4 linked regions of the Drosophila melanogaster genome follow. The protein of the gene in region 2 purifies or fractionates together with the protein of the main gene of each other region. This does not show direct contact. Each region holds a gene or a part of one and is shown on either strand. Other genes may lie near its edges.

What was found.
Region 1: the proteins of gammaTub37C (region 2) and Grip84 purify together in Drosophila melanogaster (affinity purification with western blotting; 4 studies listed by BioGRID, with this or other methods). This does not show direct contact.
Region 3: the proteins of gammaTub37C (region 2) and Grip128 purify together in Drosophila melanogaster (affinity purification with western blotting; 4 studies listed by BioGRID, with this or other methods). This does not show direct contact.
Region 4: the proteins of gammaTub37C (region 2) and Grip163 purify together in Drosophila melanogaster (affinity purification with western blotting; 4 studies listed by BioGRID, with this or other methods). This does not show direct contact.

What each region holds. Positions count from the first base shown.
Region 1 is NC_004354.4:19,560,802-19,567,759, reverse strand, and holds Grip84 (Gamma-tubulin ring protein 84), read left to right. Parts: upstream 1-1,995; 5' UTR 1,996-2,290; coding exon 2,291-2,346; exon of another isoform or gene 2,347-2,452; coding exon 2,453-2,987; intron 2,988-3,067; coding exon 3,068-3,574; intron 3,575-3,641; coding exon 3,642-4,684; intron 4,685-4,746; coding exon 4,747-5,068; coding exon of another isoform or gene 5,069-5,107; exon of another isoform or gene 5,108-5,250; coding exon 5,251-5,349; exon of another isoform or gene 5,350-5,964; coding exon 5,965-6,183; 3' UTR 6,184-6,420; downstream 6,421-6,958. Other genes in the region: car (carnation), read right to left, coding at 1-1,418.
Region 2 is NT_033779.5:19,183,361-19,187,641, reverse strand, and holds gammaTub37C (gamma-Tubulin at 37C), read left to right. Parts: upstream 1-1,915; 5' UTR 1,916-1,989; coding exon 1,990-2,038; intron 2,039-2,107; coding exon 2,108-2,310; intron 2,311-2,418; coding exon 2,419-3,009; intron 3,010-3,068; coding exon 3,069-3,599; 3' UTR 3,600-3,779; downstream 3,780-4,281. Other genes in the region: pigeon, read right to left, coding at 1-563, 622-923, 987-1,391, 1,450-1,513. UniProt on the Drosophila melanogaster protein: Tubulin is the major constituent of microtubules. The gamma chain is found at microtubule organizing centers (MTOC) such as the spindle poles or the centrosome, suggesting that it is involved in the minus-end nucleation of microtubule assembly.
Region 3 is NC_004354.4:15,467,762-15,473,708, reverse strand, and holds Grip128 (Grip128), read left to right. Parts: upstream 1-1,589; 5' UTR 1,590-1,669; coding exon 1,670-1,789; intron 1,790-1,844; coding exon 1,845-2,333; intron 2,334-2,442; coding exon 2,443-3,060; intron 3,061-3,120; coding exon 3,121-3,620; intron 3,621-3,687; coding exon 3,688-5,195; intron 5,196-5,259; coding exon 5,260-5,303; 3' UTR 5,304-5,428; downstream 5,429-5,947. Other genes in the region: mh (maternal haploid), read left to right, coding at 1-815; Alg14 (ALG14, UDP-N-acetylglucosaminyltransferase subunit), read right to left, coding at 891-1,466; CG15641 (uncharacterized protein), read right to left, coding at 5,435-5,803.
Region 4 is NT_037436.4:11,992,761-11,999,970, forward strand, and holds Grip163 (Grip163), read right to left. Parts: upstream 5,379-7,210; 5' UTR 5,291-5,378; coding exon 4,265-5,290; intron 4,204-4,264; coding exon 4,050-4,203; intron 3,989-4,049; coding exon 3,624-3,988; intron 3,566-3,623; coding exon 1,305-3,565; intron 1,243-1,304; coding exon 993-1,242; 3' UTR 514-992; downstream 1-513. Other genes in the region: viaf (viral IAP-associated factor), read right to left, coding at 1-109, 279-284; Pop2, read right to left, coding at 7,195-7,210.

The sequences.
Region 1 (6,958 bases), on a different chromosome or scaffold from region 2:
GACTCTGTTTGCAGATGGAGCAGGCCCGATTTCTCCAGGTTGCTGATGGTGAGCAGCACTTCCAGACCGTACACATGGACCAGTTCGCGCTTGTAGTGGTTAAGCAGCTTCTCCTTGAATCCGGAGGCGGCGTGGCACTGCATGCAGATGAGCCGCAGGACGCGATTCAACTCCACCCTGCAGGCAATCAGGTCCTCGATGTAGGCGCTTGGCTTGTCGATATCTGCGCAGACCATGAACTCCTGCTCGGCAGCCAGGTCGTCAGCGAAGCGCACCGCGTTCACCTGTTCGTGCAGGAGGCCAGCGATGGCCGTATGCTCAGAGGTGGCCTTCTTCTGGGCCATTAGCTGCGGCAGGAGGTTCTCGACGAAGCTCTTGATCTCCTGCACGCTCTTGTCCTGGGAGGTGGCGTGCATCTGGACGTGAATTTCCCGTGCCTTGCGAGCGAGCAGCTTGGTGACCTCGTTGAAGTGCTTGTTCCGCAGCTCCGCGTACAACTGCTCGCCGGAGTGCAGTAGGATGGTCTTTTTCTCGGTGTCACCCAGCAGCGACTGCGATTCCTCGACTCGTGGGCCACTGCCTCCGCCTCCGGGAAGGGCTCCGTCAGAGGGAAAGTTCTCGGCGGGCAGCGTCAGTTTGTTCTGCCGGATGCCGTAGAACTCATCGATAAGCCCCTCGTAGGTGAGTTGTGTGGCCAGCGGGCTGAGCAGATCGATGCTTCTGTCCAGAAGGATCAACTGATCGACGACACCCTTGTCGCCGTTGTACAGAGTCCGCTCATCCCGGCCCAGCTGCTTGGCGTGCTCCCATACCCTGTGCGCAAACTCTCCTTTTCCGTAGATCTTCGGAATGCGACCGTATAGACGCTGCAGCTGCACTAGGCCCACTGCCGCCTGATACAGCGAGCTAGTGTCACCGTCCACACTCACATCGCGGAAGGCATTGGGCATCTCCATCGATACCAGGTCGACATCCAGCGGCAGATAGTTCCAGGCCAGTTCCTCGATGTTTCCGAAGCTGCCCAACACGCCGCTGACCTCCAGTTGGCTGACGCACAGACATGACCGCCTCGGGGCGAACAGGATGTGGTACTGCCGTCCAGCGGCCGCTCTTCCGCCTGCCTTCACGTGGGCGGCCAGCTGCTCCATCAGCGCCACGCGTGGGCGCATCACGTACACCACATTGGCCACCTCGCGCGGCAAATGAAGCTCCGGCTTGAGGGCCAGCAGACGGATGCCTCGATCAGCGAATAACTTTGGCCGGGTAACCAAGTCCAGCGGTCCGATCATGGTCTCGTCCAGCACAATAACCTTGGAACCCTCAATGCGGTCCAGCTGCTGCAGCAGCTCGCGGCAGGCGGCCTCCTGCAGCAACTGCAGGTTGACCCGCTGACCATGGCCCTTCAAGTGGGGGAACATGCTCCTTTCCTCTTGCCAGAAGTGTTGATTCGTATGCTCTGCGGCTTCCGGTCGGTCGCTACCGTGTCCTTGGTGGGCGGTTTGTGCAGTGCGTTGGTGGTGTTGGTGCAACGCCCACGGATTTCGGCTGCAGAAGATCAGGGACGCGACTGTAATCGCTGCAAAGCAGCTGATTTGGACTGCGCCTGCGCTCAGCAGTGCGGTCTTACACTTACCCTTATGGCACGGTCACACTGTCCGCTGCTCTATGGGCCATTCACACTATCACTTGCCTGCAATTTAAAATCAAAACAGTTGCCAGATATAAATTTTGTTGATTAAACAAGAATATAAAGTTAAGATAGAATAAAATAATAGAGGAGTAGTTTCAATTATTTAATCTGTGGGTAGAAAGTATTTCTTATTTATTTTTTATGTACAGCTTTTTTCATTTAACAAAATTTGTATTTTTTCAATGCTTTGCACGCTTTAACGCAAATAAGTTACAGTAGTGGCCAGTCCAGTGTAAACTATGCTAAACGCACCCCTCTTTTTCGCCAGCAACCAGTGTCACCACATCCTCACAATTAAATACCAACAAATGCCAATTTGCATCAAGTTGCTTGTGCTGCTCATTTCAGTTTAAATTGATTCCGAAATTGCTGCAAGCGCGTAAAATAAAATGAGCATCTGCGATTTTAAAACGGCTAAGGATTGAAAAAAAAACTAGAACATTACAAGGACAGATGACAACCCTGTCGCTGCAGTCGGCACTCAAGCAACCCGGAAAAGAACAACAAAATATTGAGAAGAGCGGCGCACTCAAAAAGAGCTCAATTGCCGGTTATAACTGTAAATTGAGAAGCGCGGAACTATAAATTGCCATCTCCGTGATGAGTAAACCCCATGCGCTGCGCGGTGTGCTCGCCAATTTGATCAGCGAGTCGCAGTAAGTGGATTGAGTGCACAGGTGGCCAGTCGATCTAGCCGTTGCTCCTGCACCGCCTCTTTCCCGCCATTGGCACCATAGTTTACTGTCATTTTTTATCCCACAGATCGCCCCTAACTCCGGAGAGCATCATTCGGGAGTTTCGGGCCACTAGTGATCGGCGGCTGCCAGCCTGCGATCTGATCAAAGTCCTGGTGTCCATCAGCGAGAAGCGTCCCAACTTCGCAGAGGTGACCAAGGAGATCTCGCACATTCTGCAGAATAAGGATCCCATGTACGCACTGCTGGTGTTCGTCGAGCGATACAGCGAATGCAAACCAGTCTCCGAGAGCAGCAGTTCCACTAGCCTTTCAGCGATGGGCTTGCCGCACGGAAACAAGACTTCGGATGTTAATTCCGCAGCCGGTTCAGTCCCCACCACATTGGCAATCGCAAGCACCTCGACAATCTTAACCACATCGCAAAACGTATCTGGTTCCACCAGGCTTAGCTTGACCCAGTCCCAGGACTTTCCCACCTCGACGCCGGTGAATTGCAAAAAGGCCACTGAATCCGACACTACACCCGTAGTCTTTGTCAGGCGCGGCCCAATGGACCGTAACCGTGGAGCGGGCAAGGATGAGCGCAACGACTTAAGTGTGGTGAGTGCAGACTAAGTATGGTGTGCTGTTCGCTGCCAATTACTTGGCCCCTTCAAATAATCAATGATCAACCCACACAGATCAAGGAACGTGTGCTTAATGCCGTTTCCGATCAATCCTTGAGCGGCTACCGCTCGGTGACCAACAAAACGGGCAACAGCCCAAAGTCAATGCCGAATGACCTGGTGACGCTAACTGATGTGCCCGATGAGTACCGCACCCATTTACTGTGGGAATACTACAAGGTGGACGGGGACAAGGTGCCGAGGGCAGAGATCGCGGCAATGCCGCTTCTCAGCCAGGAGAGTATGCTGCTCGACGAGCTGCTGCACTGCCTCACGGGCATAAGAGAAAGCCTCCTGGTGCCTCAGAAGCCAATTATTTCTGCCGTTGGCCTGGCCAAATACGACACGGACTTTGACATACACACGCACCTCGATCGCTCGCTGACACACCAGGTGCGGGAAATCTTGCCATTGGCCTCCTACTTCATGGGCGTGCAGAAGATAATCGCGGCTACCGACGGCCTGGGTCAGGTGATGAACTCATTGAATGAGGCACTGCAGGAACTTACACACGACTTCTATGTAAGGATGTGCAATCGTGTCGTGGCAAAATTTTTCCCTAACTAATCTTTTTTTCCACCGAGCCTAGCTGATAATCGTACAAGCCGAACAGGAGCTGCGCCACAATAGATTAACATTGCAGAAACTACTGTACTACCTGCAGCCGACGATGTGGGTGATGCATGAGGTCTGGTCCTCGTTGGTGATCATTCAGCTAAGCGATTCACGGGATGCCGAAGTGTTGACGTATTTACACGAGCGGATCAAGCGGCTGGAAGGCAACAAAGATGCACAACAGCTGATTATCGGACTGGTGCGCAAGGCGGCCAAGCCGTACATGCGAATGCTGCAGATGTGGATCCAGAAGGGCGTGATCGTGGACCGCCACCGGGAATTTCTCGTAGTGGACAACGAAGTGATCCATCGCGACGAGCTGCCCGAGCACTATTCCGACGATTATTGGGAGAGACGGTATACCTTGCGCGACGAACAAATACCATCGTTTCTGGCAAAGTATTCGGATAAGATCCTGCGCACCGGCAAGTATCTCAATGTGATCAGACAGTGTGGCAAGCGCGTAATGCCCACGCAAGAGATGAACCTAGAGTTCGACCCGACCAGCGAGCGGCACGTGTCCGTCATCAACGACGCTTACTACTTTGCCGCCCGCATGCTGCTGGATGTGCTGCTAACGGAGAACGACCTGATGGGTCACCTACAGTCGGTGAAGCGTTACTTGCTGCTCAACCAAGGCGACTTCACCATGCAGTTCATGGACGCCTGCGAGGACGAGCTGACGAAGAACGTGGACCACGTGTTGCCCATGACGCTAGAGAACCTGCTGGGACTAACGCTTCGCATTTCCTCGGCGCGTAATGATCCCTACAAAGACGATCTGCACTGCGAGCTGCTGCCCTACGACCTGGTCACGCAAATGTCCAAGATCATGAAGAAGGAGGAGAACTGGCAGGCACAGCCTCGCCTCGATCTTAGCGGCCTCGAGTGCTTCGCTTTCACCTACGAGGTGAAGTGGCCCTGCTCTTTGGTGCTGAATCACATTTCCATCTCCAAGTACCAAATGCTCTTTCGACAGCTCTTCTACTGCAAGCACGTGGAGCGCCAACTGTGCAAGTGGGTTCCCGATCCTTAACCTTTTATGCCCACGATCATTTAAGTTCTTCTCTCGCAAACAGGATTTGGAAGGAAAACTCGATTGCCAGGCAGTTCGAGCCGCAGGCGGCTAGTCTCTATCGAGCGGCGTTCACTCTGCGCCAGCGTATGATGAATGCCATCCAGAACCTGGAGTACTACATGATGATCGAGATCATCGAGCCCAACTGGCACATTTTCATTGAAAAGATGAAGACGGTGGAGAACGTGGATAACGTTCTGCGTCTCCACCAGGACTTCCTCGACTCGTGCCTTAAGAACTGCATGCTGACCGAGTCGTCGCATCTGAATCGTTCGATCTTCAAGCTCTGCAAGATCTGCCTGAAGTACTGCGAGTTCATCCAGGTGAGTTCCAGTTACAGTGCGAGGGTACCGGGTGGCTAAATTGCTAAATTTTTGCGTACAACCCTTCTTCCTTTGCTCTGTGCTTCGTGCTCCGTGCTCCGTGCTCTTAATGCTCTATGTCTATCCCGCTTGCCAACGCTTCCAACTCTATGTGGAATCCTTGCTAATCCCCACCTTCGCAGATCACGCAGCGTTACTTTCAGGACGCTGAGCTCAGGTCGATGGTACGTGATAGCGCGGACAGCTCCGAATCCGAACAGGAGAGCCTGCACTGCCCACAGGTATTGCGTAGGCTTGTGCTCAACCACGTTGTTCCTTGCGGTTCCTGTGTTCTCGCTCCCACTTTCGTTATCGGTGGACCCATTTCCGTTTTGTGTCCAGCTGGATTGCATAATGGCGTGGCCCCGATTTTGATAGCATTGTTTCTTTTATTTCGAATTTGGATTGCATGCTTTAAGTTATTTTTGATTGGCTTGCCTATGCATTAGGCCATTTGCTTTCTTTTGTTTTTAAAACCTTAAATGCATCTTCTGGTATCATTAAATTACTAATGCAGAAATAATCTACAATAAGTAGATTATTATTAAGTTTTCCCTGATTATTATTCCTTCTTAATGAATCTACTTACAAAACGTAGTATTGTTTGGAAAAAATGTTTTGAAATTCAGTTAAAACAATTTGTGTAAGACCAACTTAAGCGGTTAATCTATATATTTTATATACTTATTTTTATATTTTATATACTTATACTTTTGTGTATACGGATGCCACAAAATTAGCCTGAGTTCGGGAAGAATTTGTATATACATAAGAATTCCCCCCAAATTCAGTGTATTTGTGACATCCTCACATGTATGTTCCAGTGATTAACTTGTGATTTCTTTGTCCCCTGCTAGATTGAGACCCCGTTGGATCCGACAGATACGTTTTCGGAGCGGGTTAGGCGCTTTGATCTGGAATTTACCCAACTGCTGATATCGTTCCTCAAGCAGATCAACAGCATGGCGAAGAAGAACACCGCCGATTGCTTCATGAATCTGGTGCACCGCATCAACTTCAATGCCTTCTACACCGATCAAATGGACAAGATGTGTGTAGAGGATGCCATTGGCTAAGCCAGCACGTCTAGAGGAAAGGATGTGGATGTGGATGTGGATGTGGACGTGGAAACGGAAACGGAAAAGACAAGAACAAAGTATTAGATAAATGAATTTCATAATCACAAGCGCACATTTACCATCATTCCCCACGCATGTCTTCTCATTTGCCATCCAACAAAGCGCACCAATTGTTACCCGTTTAGTTATACAAATTCGAATATGTATGAACCAATAAACCAATTAAAATGTCCTTCGCTGCTGCCGTTTGCGTTCACACAACTGCAATTTACGGCACTGGACACGATTTTCGATTGCAACGTAAGCCAGTGGCGTAGATTGCAGATTGTGCCGCCAACCAAGATATTGTACTTCGTCGTCAACCAGGTCATCCGCGATAAGCTTGGCCACTCTGTTTAGAAATGCACAAATATCCTAGGTAGCTCTCACCACTGGTTTATACATCGAATCAGAATGATAGCTGAGATCTTGGTTTCCAGGATGTTCATCATCGTTTGCTCCTGCTACGGGGTTTGCGGTTTTCCCCCATCCTGAAGCCTTTCATATACGAAGCTTATGTCGTTGGTATTTGGCCAGTTCTTAATTTAAGCTAGCCACTTGGATTTTTGGAGTGGAAGCAAATGCAAGCAAGAAACCATCCAGAATTTTAACCAAATTTGATGTTAGTAAACTCGTGATGGGCATCAATGTGGTAGCTACGCTGTAAAGTAGGCAACAAATATATTGTTCCCTGCGAAGAGAGCATTATTTTACTAAAGATCAGTATGAGAAC
Region 2 (4,281 bases):
ATGCTGATTCTATTGTCCAGCGAACTGTCATTGCGGAAAGCCTCTATCAAATGGGATTTGGGCACGGACAACGAGACCAGATCCAAGGTGGCCGCATCATAAGCCAGAGCTCCCCACTTTCGCAAAGGCACCAGCTGTGTGATATCGGGACTTCGATTGTGGGCTGCACACACGATATGGCAGTTCGGTTCGTGCTGCAGTCCCACGTCCAAGAGGTGGACAAAAAAGGCGGACGACACCAGCAAGTGATGCTGGCCGTGTAGCGCAAATGTTGGCCTCAGCAGACGGGCCTTTTGCCACGGCACACCGGGCATGACGCAGTGCACCACATAGCCGTGGTGAAGCAAAGTCACCGAGTAGGCAAAGTGCACATCCCTTTGCTCCGACTGCATCGGCTGGTACAGGTAGTAGTGACAGACGAAAAACATGCCCGAGGTGTCCGCCAGTATGATGAGATTTAGCGAACTATCGTGCACGCGCAAGGGAACCGCATCGTCATCGTAGCTTGGCGATTCCTCTTTGGAGCCATTGGGCAGCTTTGGCAAATTGAGGGGTATATTAAGCTGCAATAGAAAGATGTAACTACACCTATACGTAATACTTTAATCTTTAAGTACCTACCACTGTTTCCGTTGGCTGTTTTTCGTTAAACTGAAAGGCGGAGAGCGTGGGGCTTAAAGTAGGAGTTGTCTGCTCGCCAGCCTCCTCCCTCTCGTCCAGCAGACTGAGGCTCTTGGCCTTCGGCTTCAAGTGAATGTAATAAAGAGCCTGGCACTCGGGATCCCACTGGGCCCAGCTAAAGTTCCTGGCCAGCGTTTCGTAGGTCAGTATGCTGGTGTCTAGCCTCCAGGCGCTGCCCTCGCCTCCGCCAGTCGAGCATGTGGTGGAGCTCTGCTTGACCACGCAGCTGTACTGCTTGATGGCTAGAAAAAACAGGTACGAGCATGGGAGTTAGAGGTGGATAATGACATATACATGACACCTACATTCCTCGTGGGTGAGCACCAGTAGCTTGTCCTGCCAGCAGGTGCGCGTGGCACTCTCGACGCGCCACAGGAACTGCGTCATCATCTGGCGGTTGGAGGGCTCCGAGTTGAGGGGCGTGGCCGTGCCACCTTCGGAGCTCCTTACCTCCACGACAAAGGCCTGATAGAGCTTGCCCTCAGTTTTCTCCACGAAGGACAGCAATGTGACACTGCTGTTAATCGTTGCCTGGACGATCTCACGGCAATTGTCGAGGGTCCAAAGGAGTCGCAGCTGCTTCTTGGTGGCGTGAAAGTGGCCAATGCACGTCTCCTTGCGCTGATCCTCGTCCGCGTACTCGAATATCCAGGACGTGAGCAGAGATCCATCCTGTTCCTGGCCCAAAATGCGCCACTCGTTTGCCTTCTCTGCGATTTTTACGGACATCCATGAGGCTCGGAGTAAATTGGCGAAATACGAACTCACCTTTATAGCCCTGGCTGGCCAGGAGACCGCAGAAGTTGGCTGCCAAGTTCTCCTGCCGCAGCATTTTTATTTTTTATTCAATATTTGTACATAAACATTTGCAACGAATTTTTTCAATCAGCCTGCCAGTGTGCACGTTGCGCGCTTCTCAGAAAATAACGACTCCCGAGAACCGTTACTCGCAGCCACAGGGTGTGCTGTACAATTGAAAAAGCTAGTCCTTTAAATTTAAAAAAATAACAGTTAATGTTTTATGTAAATGAAAACATAAAAAATATATAACTATGGCTAATTTATTTGAACCTAAATATTTAAAAAAAAAATGGATCAAATCTTAATTCTAAGTATTTTCTATAAGTCCAATAACATTAAATAAATCATAAAGATTAGTAAAGAAAAATAGGTAATAACTTACTGTTGTATTGTACTTCTTGTATATCGATATTAATGACTTCCACTTCCATCTCCAGTTGGCCTTCGATGCACAGTTATTATTTACTGAGAAAGAAGCGAAATTAACTAAACTGCAATTCGAGCAAAATGCCCAGCGAGATTATAACCCTTCAATTGGGCCAATGTGGCAATCAAAGTAAGTTCTTCACGTCGAAATCGAAGTTAAGAGAAGCTCCGGCTTGATCGAGATCACTCCATTCCGCAGTTGGTTTCGAGTTCTGGAAGAGATTGTGCCTGGAGCACGGCATCTCCCCGGATGGCGTCCTGGAAGACTTCGCCACCGATGGACAGGATCGCAAGGATGTGTTCTTTTACCAGGCGGACGACAACCATTACATACCGCGGGCCGTTCTCATAGACTTAGAGCCCAGAGTCATTAACAACATCATGACCTCTCCGTACTCCAAGGTCAGTGCGGAAACTGGTCTTATTGGATCGGATTCTGATCTAATCTACTTTATTTTATGTATTTCATTTAAAAAACTATGTAGATGGATATGTGTTTCCCCTTTGCAGTTGTACAACCAGGAGAATGTGTTCCTCTCCAAGCACGGCGGTGGAGCAGGAAACAACTGGGCGTCCGGCTTTAGCCAGGGTGAGAAGGTGCAGGAGGAGGTGTTCGACATTCTGGACCGCGAGGCCGATGGCAGCGATTCGCTGGAGGGATTCGTGCTCTGCCACTCGATAGCCGGCGGAACTGGGTCCGGAATGGGCTCATATGTCCTGGAACGGCTGTCCGAACGCTTTCCCAAGAAGCTCATACAGACGTACAGCGTTTTTCCCAATCAGGACGAGATCAGCGACGTGGTTGTGCAGCCATATAACTCGATCCTTACCCTGAAGCGTTTGACCAAGTGCGCGGACAGTGTGGTGGTGCTGGATAATACCGCACTGAACCGCATCGCCACCGAAAGATTGCACATCCAAACGCCCACTTTTACGCAGATCAACAATCTGGTGTCCACCATCATGAGTCTGAGCACCACCACCCTGCGATATCCCTCGTACATGAACAACAACCTCATCGGTCTGACCGCCTCGCTCATTCCCACGCCCCAGCTGCACTTCCTGATGACGGGATATACTCCGCTAATGTCCGACTGCGAGGTATGATGATATGACATATGTAAATGGGAATGCAAATAAAAAGAGGCAACCACTTTCAGACCAAGACAAGCGTTCGAAAGACCACCGTTTTGGATGTAATGCGTCGCCTTCTGCAGCCGAAGAACATGATGGTTTCCGCGCTGACGGACAAGCAGAGCCGCCAGTGCTTCGTCTCCATACTGAACATCATCCAGGGCGAGGTGGATCCATCCCAGGTGCACAAGTCGCTGCAGCGCATCCGCGAGCGAAAGCTGGCCAACTTCATACCATGGGGTCCGGCCAGCATCCAAGTGGCTCTGCCGCGCAGCTCGCCCTATGTGCAGTCGGCCCACAAGGTATCCGGATTGATGATGGCCAATCACACGGGTATCAGTTCGCTCTTCAAGAGGGCCTTGGCCCAGTACGATAAGCTGAGGAAGCGCAACGCCTTCCTCGACAACTTTCGCCGCGAATCCATGTTCCAGGACGACCTGACCGAACTGGACATCGCACGGGACACGGTTGACTGCTTGGTGCAGGAATATGAGGCAGCCACCCAGATCGATTATCCCCAGTGGAGTCCTGCTGTCGAAGCTTCGAAAGCCGGTTAATCGATAATTATTTATAATTCAACCGTCAATACTTTTTATTTTTTTTATCAACAATAATATATGTATTTAAAATACTTTATAATCAATTTAGGAATTATAAAAGTTTCCAGGAATGATTCAACTTACATAAATCAAGCAAAAATAACTCTGAACGAGGTAGGAAGTAGTAACGATCACACCTCAACACACAAAAGTTCTGATATCAACTTTTGTGTGAAAAAAAGGGTTTTTTATTCAACTAAGGATATACAATAACTAAAATTTACTTATTCGTTAGTTAGTTTAAAGTTGGTCAACACAATCACTAATTCCACATCCACATGTATCTTGATATGTGTACATTTTTATAGTCATATTGGCTTTGATTTTTCATGTCACTTCACATTTCCCCGTAACAGACTGAGCGAAATGAATTTTCCATTCGTATTCCAAAATTCGATGTGTTAACACCTTTGAAAATAGTTTGTGTCTTACGTTTTCCGGTACCTATTTTGTTGTTTCTAAGATCCTATTTCTGTAAATAGGCCAAATGTAAGTGTTTAGTTCACATTGCATAGAGAACAATCTAATTTGGTTTAAAGTCCACTTAGCTGCCCTTTTAGAAGGAAATTAGGATACCCTGAACGCTTTTCCCCAAGACAAAATAAAATCGTAAGTGAAAACAATTTATATGATTAATTCT
Region 3 (5,947 bases), on a different chromosome or scaffold from region 2:
TCAACTGGGAGTCCTACGATGATGACGTAATGGTCAGGGATGTTCATACGCCCATCGTCAACTTGGTCGAAAGCTCTAGTGATGAAGAGGAGATGAAGATGCCAGCTGGCAGAAAAACCATGACCAGTCAGGAGCGCACGCAGATCATCAAGCGCCAGGTAATGGAGGATGAGTTGACCTTGTGTGAGGACGATATCCTCTTAATTGATGATGAATACGACGATGAGGTGGCCGCAAATGAATCTTTAACAGCCGCCACGGAGCTAGCTGACCAATCCATTATAGATGATATTTTTGGAGAGGACACCCTGCTGAAGGAGTTCCAGCGTGAGAACGACGTGCAGCCCAGTTGCTCAAGCTACGCCAAAAGAATTGAGAACGACATCGTATCTTGTCCCATTTGCTTTGAGAAAATGAGGCGCACTGAGTTGTCCAATCACTTCGATGGCTGCGCCATTATGGTGCGCTTGGAACCGCCATCGTTTAAGCCTAAAAACCGCCGAACAACTGCTTCCTTAACCTCAAAGGACTCGTCGGGAGCTTCCACATCACGCCGCGCTAAATCGAAAGCAAAGTCATCAAAAGGAATTCTTCGCAGCTCCGGTTACACAGAAGGGGAGATCGACAAGCTCAACCTGAGCTCCTCTACCGACTCGTCTACTCTGCCGTCTAGCGAGGACGAACTTACTCCGCGTCAGCGCCGCCAGCGCAACCTCTTCAAAGAGACCGTAGGCTGCCCCAGATGTGGCCTGGAGATCATGCCTCTACACCTGAAGGTCCATGGATCCGTCTGCGCTGGTCGCAAGAAGCGCTAGGACAAAAAACATCTCATACAAAACATAATTCGTTAAATAGAAACTAATGTTAACTTTAATGTTATTAAAAACATGTTACAGGATTCGCCCAAAATATCGCACATTCTTTTTATCCAAATAGCGCGTGGCCAACGCCGGCCAGTGGACCACAAAGAGGTCCGCCAGCGGAAGGAGCAGGCGTCCGCTCAGCGACAGCGTCTCCACGCGGCAGAAGCTCTCCACGAACACTATTCTGGAGTGCGAGGGCAGGCGTCCGAGGAGGCGCCACAGATAGGCGGCATAGCAGAAGGGCACACAGGTGCCGGGTCCATTGCAGAGGATCAGTTGGGGGCGATCACGCCAGACCAGATAGCAGCTCCAGAGAAGCGCCCACAGGCTGGTGAAGATGCTGCTTAGCCAGGATTGGCCCACGTCGCGGCTGCGCGGCACCTTCACGAATTCCGCCCTCTGGGCAGCCTGCGGCAGGACCTGCCTGAACTGGCGCTCGGAGGTAGAGTCACTGTTGGCCAGGATCAGTCTAATTGGCTGGTACTTCTCCGTCTGTTCGATGTCTGTCTGTTGCAGCAGCGCCTGGGTCAGCCGGCACATCTCCGCCGTGTGGCCGCCAGAGCCCAGTATTACGTAGGTGGGGTGAGGCGAGCTGGTCGTCATATTGCCCTTCGAAAACTCAATTTAAATGACAACATTTACAATTGTTTACGTTTCAAGTCGATTGTCGATCATCCACGAACAGCTGTTTCCATTGCTATCGATAACTGAACCGATAATTATGCCGGTGTACCATTTACGTTGTTGTCATTGCTGAGGGCGCCATTTATAGAATTTATTGGATCTCAATCAGAAAGCGGAGCGAAATGGCTCCTCCCGCCCAGAAGGGTAACCTACGGAAGCGCTCCGGCAAGACCTCGACGGCAGTCAACTCCGCCATAAACGAGAACGTGCGAAAACTGGTCAGGAGCCTGTCGGAACCGGGGGTATGTTTTAAAACAGATGTTATCCCTATTCCAATTTAACCAACTTAAAACGCAGACGAGCCAGAAAAAGTTGCGCCAGATGGAGGATACGGCATTGAAGATAATCGCCAACCAACGCAGGACATGGGCTCCTACAACGACGGACATGGAGGTGAAACGCAACCTGGACGATCTGGCAGAGCGTTTTCGGGCGGAGGGCATGGCGTCTTTTGGTGAGAGCATCAAGGACTTGGCCATCAGGTATTTGGCTATGGACGAAAATCAACAGCAATTCAATCCTAACCCCGGATGGCAAATGCTCGAATTGCTGTTTCGCATAGCCGATAGGCCGGTGCAAAAGATCCGGCTGAACCGCGAGTTCATGGAACAGCGCCGTCTGTCCATAATTAATAGCATGGAGGAAGCCGAGCGACAGGCACAGATAGAGGAACAGGCGAAACTGGAGGCAGCCAAGAATACCTCCGAAACGGAGGTGGACTGGGCAGCGCTGCTGTCCGAGGATTTTCTGGATCCGCCAGAGGATGACAGCTCGGACAGCTTAAGTGTGAGCATCTAGAGAACCCCAAACATATGTCATCTGCTACACATATGTAGCCTGTTCTTTCCATAAAATCATTTGCAGCATACTAATACCTTTACCTTCTTTCCAAAAGGACTGGTCGGAGGAGTCGGACTGCGACTCGACAACTACTCTGAAGCCCGATGAAAATATTGGCGTCTCGCGAAGCCTCTTGGAAATGGCCAGGGTGTACGAGCAGGCCATGATGGCAGTCGTTCCGACTGGAAGTGTTAACAAAACGTATATGCCGCCCGAGCAGAGCGTGATCCGGAGTTACGACTTTCGGATAATGAAACCAACTGTTCTAAGCCTCAACAACTTAAAGGGCAGCCATCTGAGACGAAGCAAGCTGCTCCAGTTGCCGCCACCCCAACCGCCCCGACCATTCACCCAATATTGGCAAAGTGGCAACACAGATACGCTCTTCCGTAAAATCCATTCCCACTGGTGGTGCCAAGATGTCCATTTAAACGCCCTGCCCTCCAGTGCTAAGCCACTGGACAACTTTGCCGTCAGCTACGTGCAGTTTCTGAATCACAATGCCCGAGGCTTGTTGGCCCTGCCAGTGCCGAAAACCATCACGGAGCCCTGTCTGCTAAGGGAGATCCTCTTCATGTTTGTGCGTCCAGCGAGCTGTTGTTTCTTTGAATTCGACAAGGCCACGCGACGCATTACTGTGCGTGACAATGTCAGTATTTGTACGGTGACTGCGGTAAGAAAGTCGAATCGTTAATGTGTAACTCTATCTTTAGTCCGGCTTTTTTTTTTGTAGAGCACAATGCAAAATTTTCTGTTATTTGATGTGGTGCCTGCGCTGGAGGACATGATGGAACTGCGTCACATCATCGATACTCATACGTTGCATTTTCATGGCGTAAAGACAACATACACCGTGGAGTTCTTTGCATACGGCCTGAGAGATCTTGTCCAGCCCATTTGCCAGCTCCTCATCGCTTACGAGGATCGTGTCAATAAGGATCCAGCGAAAAATACACTGATCCGTTTTACGATTGAGTTCAGGGAACATTTTAGCCAGCTGCGCTTACTGCGAGAGCTGGCCGAAGATGTCATCCTGGATAAGGGACCTGCGCACATACGCAGTGCCTACTTGCTATCCAGACTGTATAAGCACACCTTGCTGCAGGTGCCGCACCAGAAGCTGGCCACTGCCCTGCTGTTTATATCTCTCAAGCGATATTGTATCATCATCGACGGCTGGTGGCGCAGGGCCGCGCTGGAAGATCACCTTCGCGAGTTCATCGTGGAGTTTTGGTAAGCCAAAATGGTGCTCACACATCACTCTGGCCAGCTGAAGTCATAACTACATTGTTTTTAATAGTTACGAGGAAGATGCGAACACACGTAGCCACGTGCGCAAACGAAATATGGGAATGGAGGATGATTTGCTACTCGTGGAGATCTTCAACAAGCTGCAATCCTGCCCACTCTACCAGCTACTGCTGGAGCATGCCTTGGAGTCTGGCGAAACGCAAGATTTGCTATGTAGTGTAAATACGCTGAGCGAAATGCTGACCAGCAACAATGAAATCCAACTGCCGTCGCTGCACGATGAGCTGTTCACGCAGTTCTTTGCGCAGCTAAAGGTTTACTGTGGTGCGGACAACACGGATTACGAGGATGAGCCGGAGCCGGACAAAGACTACGAAGATCTGACTGTGTGCAATAGGCAGGGCATTAGGAACCATGAACTTTTCGCCATATTTACCCAGCCGTTGGTGGAACAACGTTTGGAGCGACAACGTGAGCGGCTTAAAAGCAACCCCGTTCTAATGGCCAACATTTTGAAGCGCTTGGAGCGCTCCACATGTCTGCAGCTGAAGTCTGAGTTGCCGGAGGCACTGCGCGAAATACTGCGAAGGAGACAGTGGCTGGCGAACGAGTACGCGATTCGAGCGTACTGCAAGGAAACGCAGGTGGCCGAGAAGATGCGATTCCTGCGGCATACGATGCTGCTGGAGAAATACTACCTATTTGTGCCATACTACAACGCACTCTTCGTGCGCATGGAGAAAAACAATAGCTGGGCACTGGGTTCGGTGCTCACTTCTAAGCTATGCGCTGTGCTCCTTCCGCATTATCCGCAATTGGCTCATTATCTTCATGTCAAGTTAATATCCCAGATAAACTCGAATTCAATCAAGGTCTATGAGGCCCTGGAGGCTATTGAACTGGACTTCGAGCGGCCAATGGCCATGCACCAGTGGTACATTCTCACACCCGCGCACATGCAAGACTACAATTCGGTGTGGCGTCTGATGCTGAAGGTGAAGTGGGCCGTCTGGAAGCTGGAGAATATGCAGTTTTTGCGTCGCGCTAGGTTCAATCCCTGCGCACCACTGGATTTGATCGGTCTGACCATTCGTCGCCTGGAGATTGTGCGCTTCTGGTTAATTTTCCTCATCAACAACCTGCACGCGCACATTATGGAGGCCGTGAGCCGGCAGTTCGAGCTCAGGATTGGCGAGTGCAAGAATGTCCGCGAGTTGCGTATCATGCACGACGAGCACCTGGCGTGGCTGAAGACACACTGTATGCTGACCGACGAATTTAAGGCATTCCGCGTCGCCCTCGACCAGATCTTTCATCTGGTCTACGTGCTGGACATGGAGTGGACCACCTGCGCCAGCTGCATGCACGACCACGATGCCCTATGCTTGGACGTCACCATTTCGGATGACGGCATTGATGACAGCGAAACGCAACGTCGTAGCTTGGAGTACCTGGCGCTCAACCAGGTGGCGGAGATCGAGTTAACGTACATACGTTGCCACCAGATGCTGGCCGACATCCTTAACACGCTGGTGCACCAGAACGATCACGGATTCCGTAAGTGATTGTTGGTCCCGAAATTTGGACATTTGAACTTACTCTTTTTCACTTCGTCTTGCAGTGTCTGCCTTGGAGGAGACCATCAACTCCAGTGTGCCCCATTAGAATCGAATCTCCTCCACAAAGGATCTTGTTAAACATTACGCATTACCATCACCTGCACCACTACCTATAATCCCGACCAAACATTCCCATACCAACTGAATTAAAAGCAGCTTATCTTTGTTGACAAAACCTCACTCGAACTCCTCATCGCTGTCGCCGAAGGGCTCGACGATCGGTGGTGGCGGCGGCAGGGTGGTCACCTCGTGCAGCGTGGGTCGCCGGATGTACGGCTGGCAGGTGAGCTCGCACATGCGGGCGCTGGCGAAGACCGTGCGATGTGGGTAGCAATTACCGTTGACGTGCTCGCAGCGCCGGTAGGCGGATTGGCGATTGAAGACGTACAGATCGGCGCATGGCGAGCAGTTGGCCTGGCCTATCAGTCGCGTCTGCAGGCACTGGAAGCGGCGATCGCTGGCGCTGATGCCCATGGACACCTGGCGTATGGCCATGGCCAGGGCGATGGCCACCAGACAGCAGCAATGCACTCCTTGCCGTCGCATAGTCCGTTGATCTCTGCCGCCTCGCCGCTCTATTCGTTTCGCTTCGCCCGTTTAGCTGGTTTCTCATGGTTGGCGTGGCGCTAATGTGTTCCGCCTTCCTTCAATCTTCAATCTGCAGCACCTCAATGTTAGGCTAATACATAT
Region 4 (7,210 bases), on a different chromosome or scaffold from region 2:
CCATCAGCTTCTGGATCTGATCCTCTGTGATCTCCGCCTCCTTCGCCTTGGGCCCAATTATTCCCTTGGCTCGGAGCACATCATTCCACTCGGTATCTTCGTTTGGGTCCTATGGACAACAAGGCCACGTGAGTTTCATTTCATTCATGATTTTCAATACCAAATATGGGGTTTATTTTTGGATGCACCAAAACACACCCACCATTACCATTTATCGAAATGGAAAAACCTTATTGTTCGGATAATAAATATAATTTGCTTATAACAGTCCATCTTACCTGCATGTTTTTTGATTATAGTTCGATGAAATAAATTACTTAAAAATATAAAATTCTTGATCGCGTGCAGCGCTTTTATAAACTAAAAATAAAACTGAATTATTCTACACGAAGTGACTCATGACCAGGGATGGAGCGAATACCGATACATCGTACGCGCACAGTCACTTAGAGATGATAGGGAAGCGATACCTTACATACGTTTGAATTAAATATTAAATATTAAATATTAAATATGGTAAGACATACATAAATAAGCACATTTATTTATAAATTCGAATCAACAGTTTCAAGAAATCATGTCGACATTGGTTTCATTACAATATTTAATACGTACATTCTACTTTAGAGACAATTGTCTCTTTTAAAAGTTTTTCTTAAATATTAAACAGAAATCTATTAATGATATGGATAAATATTCAAAACAGTTTTTTCGGCATTTAATACGAGTTCAATTAAAACACTATTAGATGTTACTAATTAAATTATTTTCTTTTAATTTGAGCCGGTTATTTGAAAATTAATATTAACTTACAACACAACAAAACTGTTAACCGAAACTAAAGAAATAGTACTAAGAAATAAATGCCTTTAAAGCTGATTTTCTTCACCGAAGCTTTACATTTAGGAGACGCCATGCATGCATAAATATTTTTTAAAATGTTCTAAGCTCAGCTTAATGGCAAGATAAATTCCCTATCTAACAATTATTGGCTAGCACTTTTTGTCCTCCATTGAGGAACCAGTATGGTTCCCAGATACCTTGTAATAGTGGTTAAAGTTAATAATACAAATCAGGTCACCGATTTCCTCCTGGTAACCAGAAGCGGCCGCCTTGTTGCCCAAATAGATGAGATACTGCAAGAATTTCTCGAACTCAGCCTCTTCCTGCTGCAGACGTTTGAAGCGGGGGTGCACAAAGTAATTATCTTGATCCACAATAAAGGACTGCGACTGAATGACTCTGAAAAACATTTAAATTAAAGAATAAAATGAATCAGCAGACTATTTAAGACGTAAACTCACTTGCAAAAGCGTAGTATAATCACTAGGATATTATCAATGGTTTCCTTTACTTTCGCACTGCGTCGATTTAGCAGTGCTAGGAAGGCTACCCGCTTTAAGTAGGCAACATGCTGCTTGTACAACGCCTCAATGGAATCGGCTGTGCACAACTCCTCCTTGAAGCTCTTCCAGGTGGACAACAGGGCCTTGGCCACCAGATGCGTTTGAAACGAGGTCATGAAGTGCGACATCTTGTGGCGCATCATCTGCATGTGTCGGAAATGAGTACATGTCCGAAGTTCCGGTCCCAGAAGCTTGCCCATTTGCTGCAGATACTCGTAGGTTCCATCCAGCACGAAACTAACGTGACGAAGCTTCAGCAGATACCCGAAGATCTGGCCATATTTTGAAATCGTCTCCGAGCTGATCACCATGTTTAAAGGCCAATCAATCTTGCAGTTCAGCTTTAGCATAGAAGTGGCTTCCACGGACAGGAAGTTGAGCGTATCCGGGATGGTGGTACAATTGAGGGTAAGGTTCTCCGATACCGTCGTTTCATCCGCCGAACAAGCCGCCAGCGCATTGGTTAAAATGGTGTCAAGGATGCCCTTCTGGCTGAGACTTCGTGGCCCAACGCCCGCCCTTATTCTTCCTAGAATTTCGTTCGTGAGTGTAGCTCCAAATTGACCGTCCACCAGGAAAAAGTAGTTTCTGAGCTTGCGGAAATGCTCGTAGATACGCTGCTCCTGGAATATTCTCAGCACTTCATTTCGGAGCAGTCCGTAGTATGCGTTAAGGGGCGCCATTACGGAGAGCTGCAGGCAGCGGCGGGCCATAAACGGATTGCAAGCCTCGGGCAAAGTGCTAACTTTATCTCTGTCCTGTTCCGTCTCCCTTTCATCTTTCATTCCAAAATCCAGTTTCGGCAATAAGCTAGTTGGTTTAGCAATTGCAAGAACGGGCTTTGGCAACTCCGGAGACAAACTTTCAATGCTCCCACTAACATTGTTATTATTAGCAGTGTCAGCTATTTCTGGTAGTTCCCGTGGCGACGGATCACCGAAATCCACATCGGAAGTGGTGGACATTGGAGTTAGCACCGCCAGGGGAATTTCGACGTGAAGCTTGTCGATTTCGAGAGGCAAACAGGGCGTGGCCTTTGTTTCTATATCCGTGTTCTTATAACCTAGACCGAACTCGGTCTCCATAACCCGAAGTCGATTTCTGCCACGTTCAGTATTTGAGTTCAATAGGGAACGCAATCGATGGGTGTGCTCATCTTCGGTAGAGTTAAAACTGAAGAAGCCGTCATGATGCTCGTTGCGCTTGCGGTTTCGCTGTAGTTCGGTCAGCTCTTTCGTGTCCGGGCAATTGAGATTAGCATTAATATCTTGAGGAATTTCTGCGTGCAATCCTGAACTCGTGCTGGCAGCGGTTTTAAGTAAGTCGGACTCTTGTAGATGTACCGTGGCATGACACTGTTGAAACTGGTCGGAGGAGAGACCATGCTGGCGGTTTCGATTGAACTCTGCTTGGGTTGTTGGATGCTCGTTAGAATTTATCACGTCCGAGTGACTCCGTTGATACTGAAACACATTGGGAAGTGAACACTCTTTGCCACGTGGTTGGTCCACATCTACATCCGCTTGATATTCAGCTTCGGGCTGTTCCAATGGAACATTTAAAGTCTTATCCAACTGTTTTGTTGCCTCATCCTCTGAATTTTCTGTATTTGCATCATCTTTATCAGAAGATGATTCTGCTAGACAATCTGGTTCCTCAATGCAGGATGCAAAACTGAGATCGCTGACTGTGCTTCGGTCAGGACTGGACGACAGGACAGCTGCTAGCTGCACCACTTTCTTTTGCAGCTCTTGCTTTTCCCGCTCCAGGAGCTTATCCTCCATCCGTTCGCATTCCCGCTGAAATGCAAGTTCATTAACAATGTCCTGACGCCGCTTCTCTAAGTGATTTTGCTGGATACGTTCCTGCTCTGCGTTTAACTGATCGTTCTGGAGTTTTTTCTGGGCATTCGCTTTTATTTGGAGTTCACGCTGCTTCTGCGCCCACGCGTCCAGATGGGCCTGCGTTCGCTTCACCATTAGATTGGCAAATACACGCTTTGTCGCCATGCGGTCCTCGAAAATGCTTTGCATGCTGCACCATCCGAAACGTTTATAGATGATGGCATACTTATCGGCCAGGTTGCGGCGCATATTTTTGAGTTGTTGCTCCGTTAGGCAAACCACAATATCCGGGTACTGCACGTCAAAAACGGGGTGCTAAAAAAAGAATAAATCATTATATATGGATTCTAGTTTTGAATAATCTTCTGCATACCTGAGCGTTATATGCCCTTAGCACCAGGTTGTATTTGCCACATTGAAGAATTTCCTCTTCGCAACCGACTAAAAATTCAGGAATCGCCTCGTTGTCCACTTGATAGCTTTTGTCAAAGAACTCTTTGCTGCACTGGTTTGTAAAAGACGGTGAAGTGTTCAGACAGCGGCTGATGAAAATCTCGTTGACCGACTCGTCTAGTTCACCATGGTAGATCCATCTCTGTAGCTGAATAAAATAATTACGGGATATGCAGCGCAAGAAATAGATGAGCAGGTGCAGGAAGTCTTTGTTTCCGCAGGTGTCGATGGCCAGCCAGATGGAGCTCAACAGGAAGGAGCCAGTTATCCCAGTGTTCAGGTTTACTGCATTAATGTATATAAAAGAGATTAATTCTGAAATAATTTCGCGTCGCGGCATTCTTACATCTTGGTTCATTTTCGAACATCCTATCTAGTTGGCAGAGTAACTGAATCGCTGTGGAGGTGTTGTTTAGCAGCTGGAAAAGGCTATCGGCTTGCAAAGAGAGCAAAAACTGCCGAGTGGTGCTTAGATAGTCCATAATCGTCTCTCGCATGGCCTATAAGAAAGCATGGGATTGTTGAATATATCACTACTGGAAATAAGGTATTCAATCTCACTCGATTTAGAGGCCTTTCCAGCCGCATTTCGGCGATATTGTTCCATTTGGTGCGGGAACTCAAACGCAGGAAGGCGCAGCCGGCACGAATGAAGTGATTTGCAAAATCCGCCAGCACCTCCGGCAGCATAGTTGGCAAAGTTGTGTTGGGCCTCACTCGCAACTCCAACTTATCTGCCGACGAGATGGGAAACGTTAAAGATTCAATACCACACGCTGCTTTCTTTAGGTGATCGATTAGGGTTGCTTCATCTAGGTAGTTGAGAACCAGGTTCTTGTTCCGGAGGATCTTAAGTTCGTTGGTCAACAATTTATCCGAAACGAAGTGCTTCTCCGGTCCAGGCTGGGCCACAAAAGGTCGTTCATCCTCTAATGGAGCTACGACTTTTTTCGCGAGCACTGGCAATCGGGGTGGTGGATGCATTGGTTTTTCCATTTCGTTCCTCATGCGTGTAATGGACTCTGATAATCCCATGCGAATTACAGTAGATGGTATGATCTTCGGAATTAGCTTTTCTGGCGGAAAATTTATATTCAGGTTACTCGTTGTAAGAATATCGGAGTATGGCTGTAGTTGCAGGGGTTTCAGGGCGCGATTCATTTGATTGATGTCGGGAAAGGCCTTTGGATGAAGTGCCTCCTCCACAATCTCTATGGTTTCAATCAGCTGCAGTGGACCTGCCTTGATACGTTTGATCACCACTTCGGACTGGTTTTCCTCATCCTGGTCCTGTGTAATCTCCGATTCTTCCTTATCCTGTCCTTCTAGCAGATTTTGGAACCTGAGCAGCATGTCCATCCGGTCTGGGTTCTTTGCCACCTCGCTGGTCACCTGGTGGAGCATCTCCAGCTTGTCCTGGGACGACATCGTTTCACTGTGAAGCAGCGATTCATAGATTTTGGAGCGCTTTTTGGCCACCAGCACAGCTGTTTGTTTTTTTGGCTTCATCTCATCGGCCACCAGCATTGTGGCCATTTTGGTTACCAGGTCGAGGACGCTGTGATTGCATTCAGCCACAGTTGCCATCGATTTGGCTTTTAATACTCAAAAACTAAAAGATATTTTCCATAAACAAAACATAAGGACTAGGCTCGGTGTGACCGCACCACAGTTTCACAAAAATCCGACTATTGCTACTTCGGCGTATTTCCGTTATATTTTAAAAATACCTTTTATATGTTCATTAACCCACTATTGATTTTTAACCCTTGAAAATTTTGTTTTCATCTGTAGATATTGGGATTCTTGGTTTCTCTTGATTTGATATTTGATATTTGATATTTTTTTCTACAGGTTTTCGCCATCTTTTTTCTACTAAACCAAACATCTCGATTCGTATTCATACTTCAAATAAAAACACGTTTTCGAAATGTACACTAAATTAAAAAGTTTTAAATATATTGTTTTTTTGCTCTTTTTACAAATACACAATATTCTCTGTTTCGCTCATTGGCTTACAGTTTTAGCTTAATTTTACATACCTTAGTTTTGTATTCGTAACACATTTAAGACATGCAGAACTTGAAATTGAATCTATTTTAGTTTTGCCGGTTTTTCATTTCTATGCGATTTACAATTAGTTTATGCCATGTTTTCGTATTGAACGGTTGCCTATTCATCTGAACTTGCGTGGGAAACATCAAGAAGTTAGCTTTATGGCCAACGGGGTATAATTGTTCACAAATGGGAACGATCTGTGTCGACTGTCCACAGATTACTGCAATGGTGTTGTTACGGCTAGGATCAGTTGGCCAGGTGGTGTGGCCTGCACAGATGCCGACGGACCCGGTGATTCCTCCTGCTCGAACTTCCTGTCGTGCACGACCACGTTCCCCATCAGTACGAATCATGAAGCGCTGTTCGTCTCACCGTTGCTGTCGTGGAAGTTGGTGCCATTGACGATGAAGGAGGTACCCAGGCCGTACAGGTGTCCGGAGTACTTCGCATGGTCGATGTTGTCCTCGAAGAACATCTGCAAAGATTGTAAGTTTCATTAGGCAGGTACAGAACATTGGATCGTTTTTCGAATGGGACAGCACAAATGGGTTAGAAAGCAGTTTCTGGGTAAGTATGGTAATTATGGGATGTATCAATGCGAGCAACTTTAGTTGGGAGCTACAAAGCGTATAAAGCACACATATTTCTACGGCAGCAAAGTCTTAGAAAGTAATCCCAAGTAGATGGGTGGGTCCTACTTGTAGATAGGATTTGTTACATACCGCAGAACCGATGTGATTGGACGAGGTTTCAATATTAGTAAATTTCATATTTAATGAATGTTAGTATGGGATGGGATTTATTCTGCAATGTTCTTGTTATTTCAAAACTATTCGGCAGTTCTCTAGAAGATAAAGGTCTTGGTACGCTGATACACACAGTAAACCGTGTGGAAACATATGTCAGCAAAGCGCTTAAAATTACAAAAGAATAATTTGTTAATTCGATATAAATGAAGAGCGTGAACTTAACATAAATTAAAATGAACATCAATACAATTAAAAAGATGTCATATGAAATCAAGCAAGCTATGATATGCATATGCCATGCCCAAACACCAAAGAATGCAAATAAACATTTAAAGAAAATTAATTCCAATTCATTTAATTTTCCATTCGAATCCAGCGCGTTTCTCATTTCAATTCGTATCGCGGGCATTACAGCTAAATAAACATGTTTCACATGGGTTTAACAGCTCCAAACTAACTACTAAGAACACTTCAAATTATGGATTTCATTCATAAATTCTGGGTCACTGGCTCTGTAAATTGTGCAGGTCACAAAAAACTAAGTACATAGATGAGTTATGTATGAAAATGCGTTATGACAACCATGAAAAACCTTAAACCTAAGGAATAATGATTATGATGGGCGGAGGCACGTTACGTTAGCAGTGGCAAGTGCACGGCAACACCAGCGAGCGAGCTGTCTAATCATCCGAAGCTATTC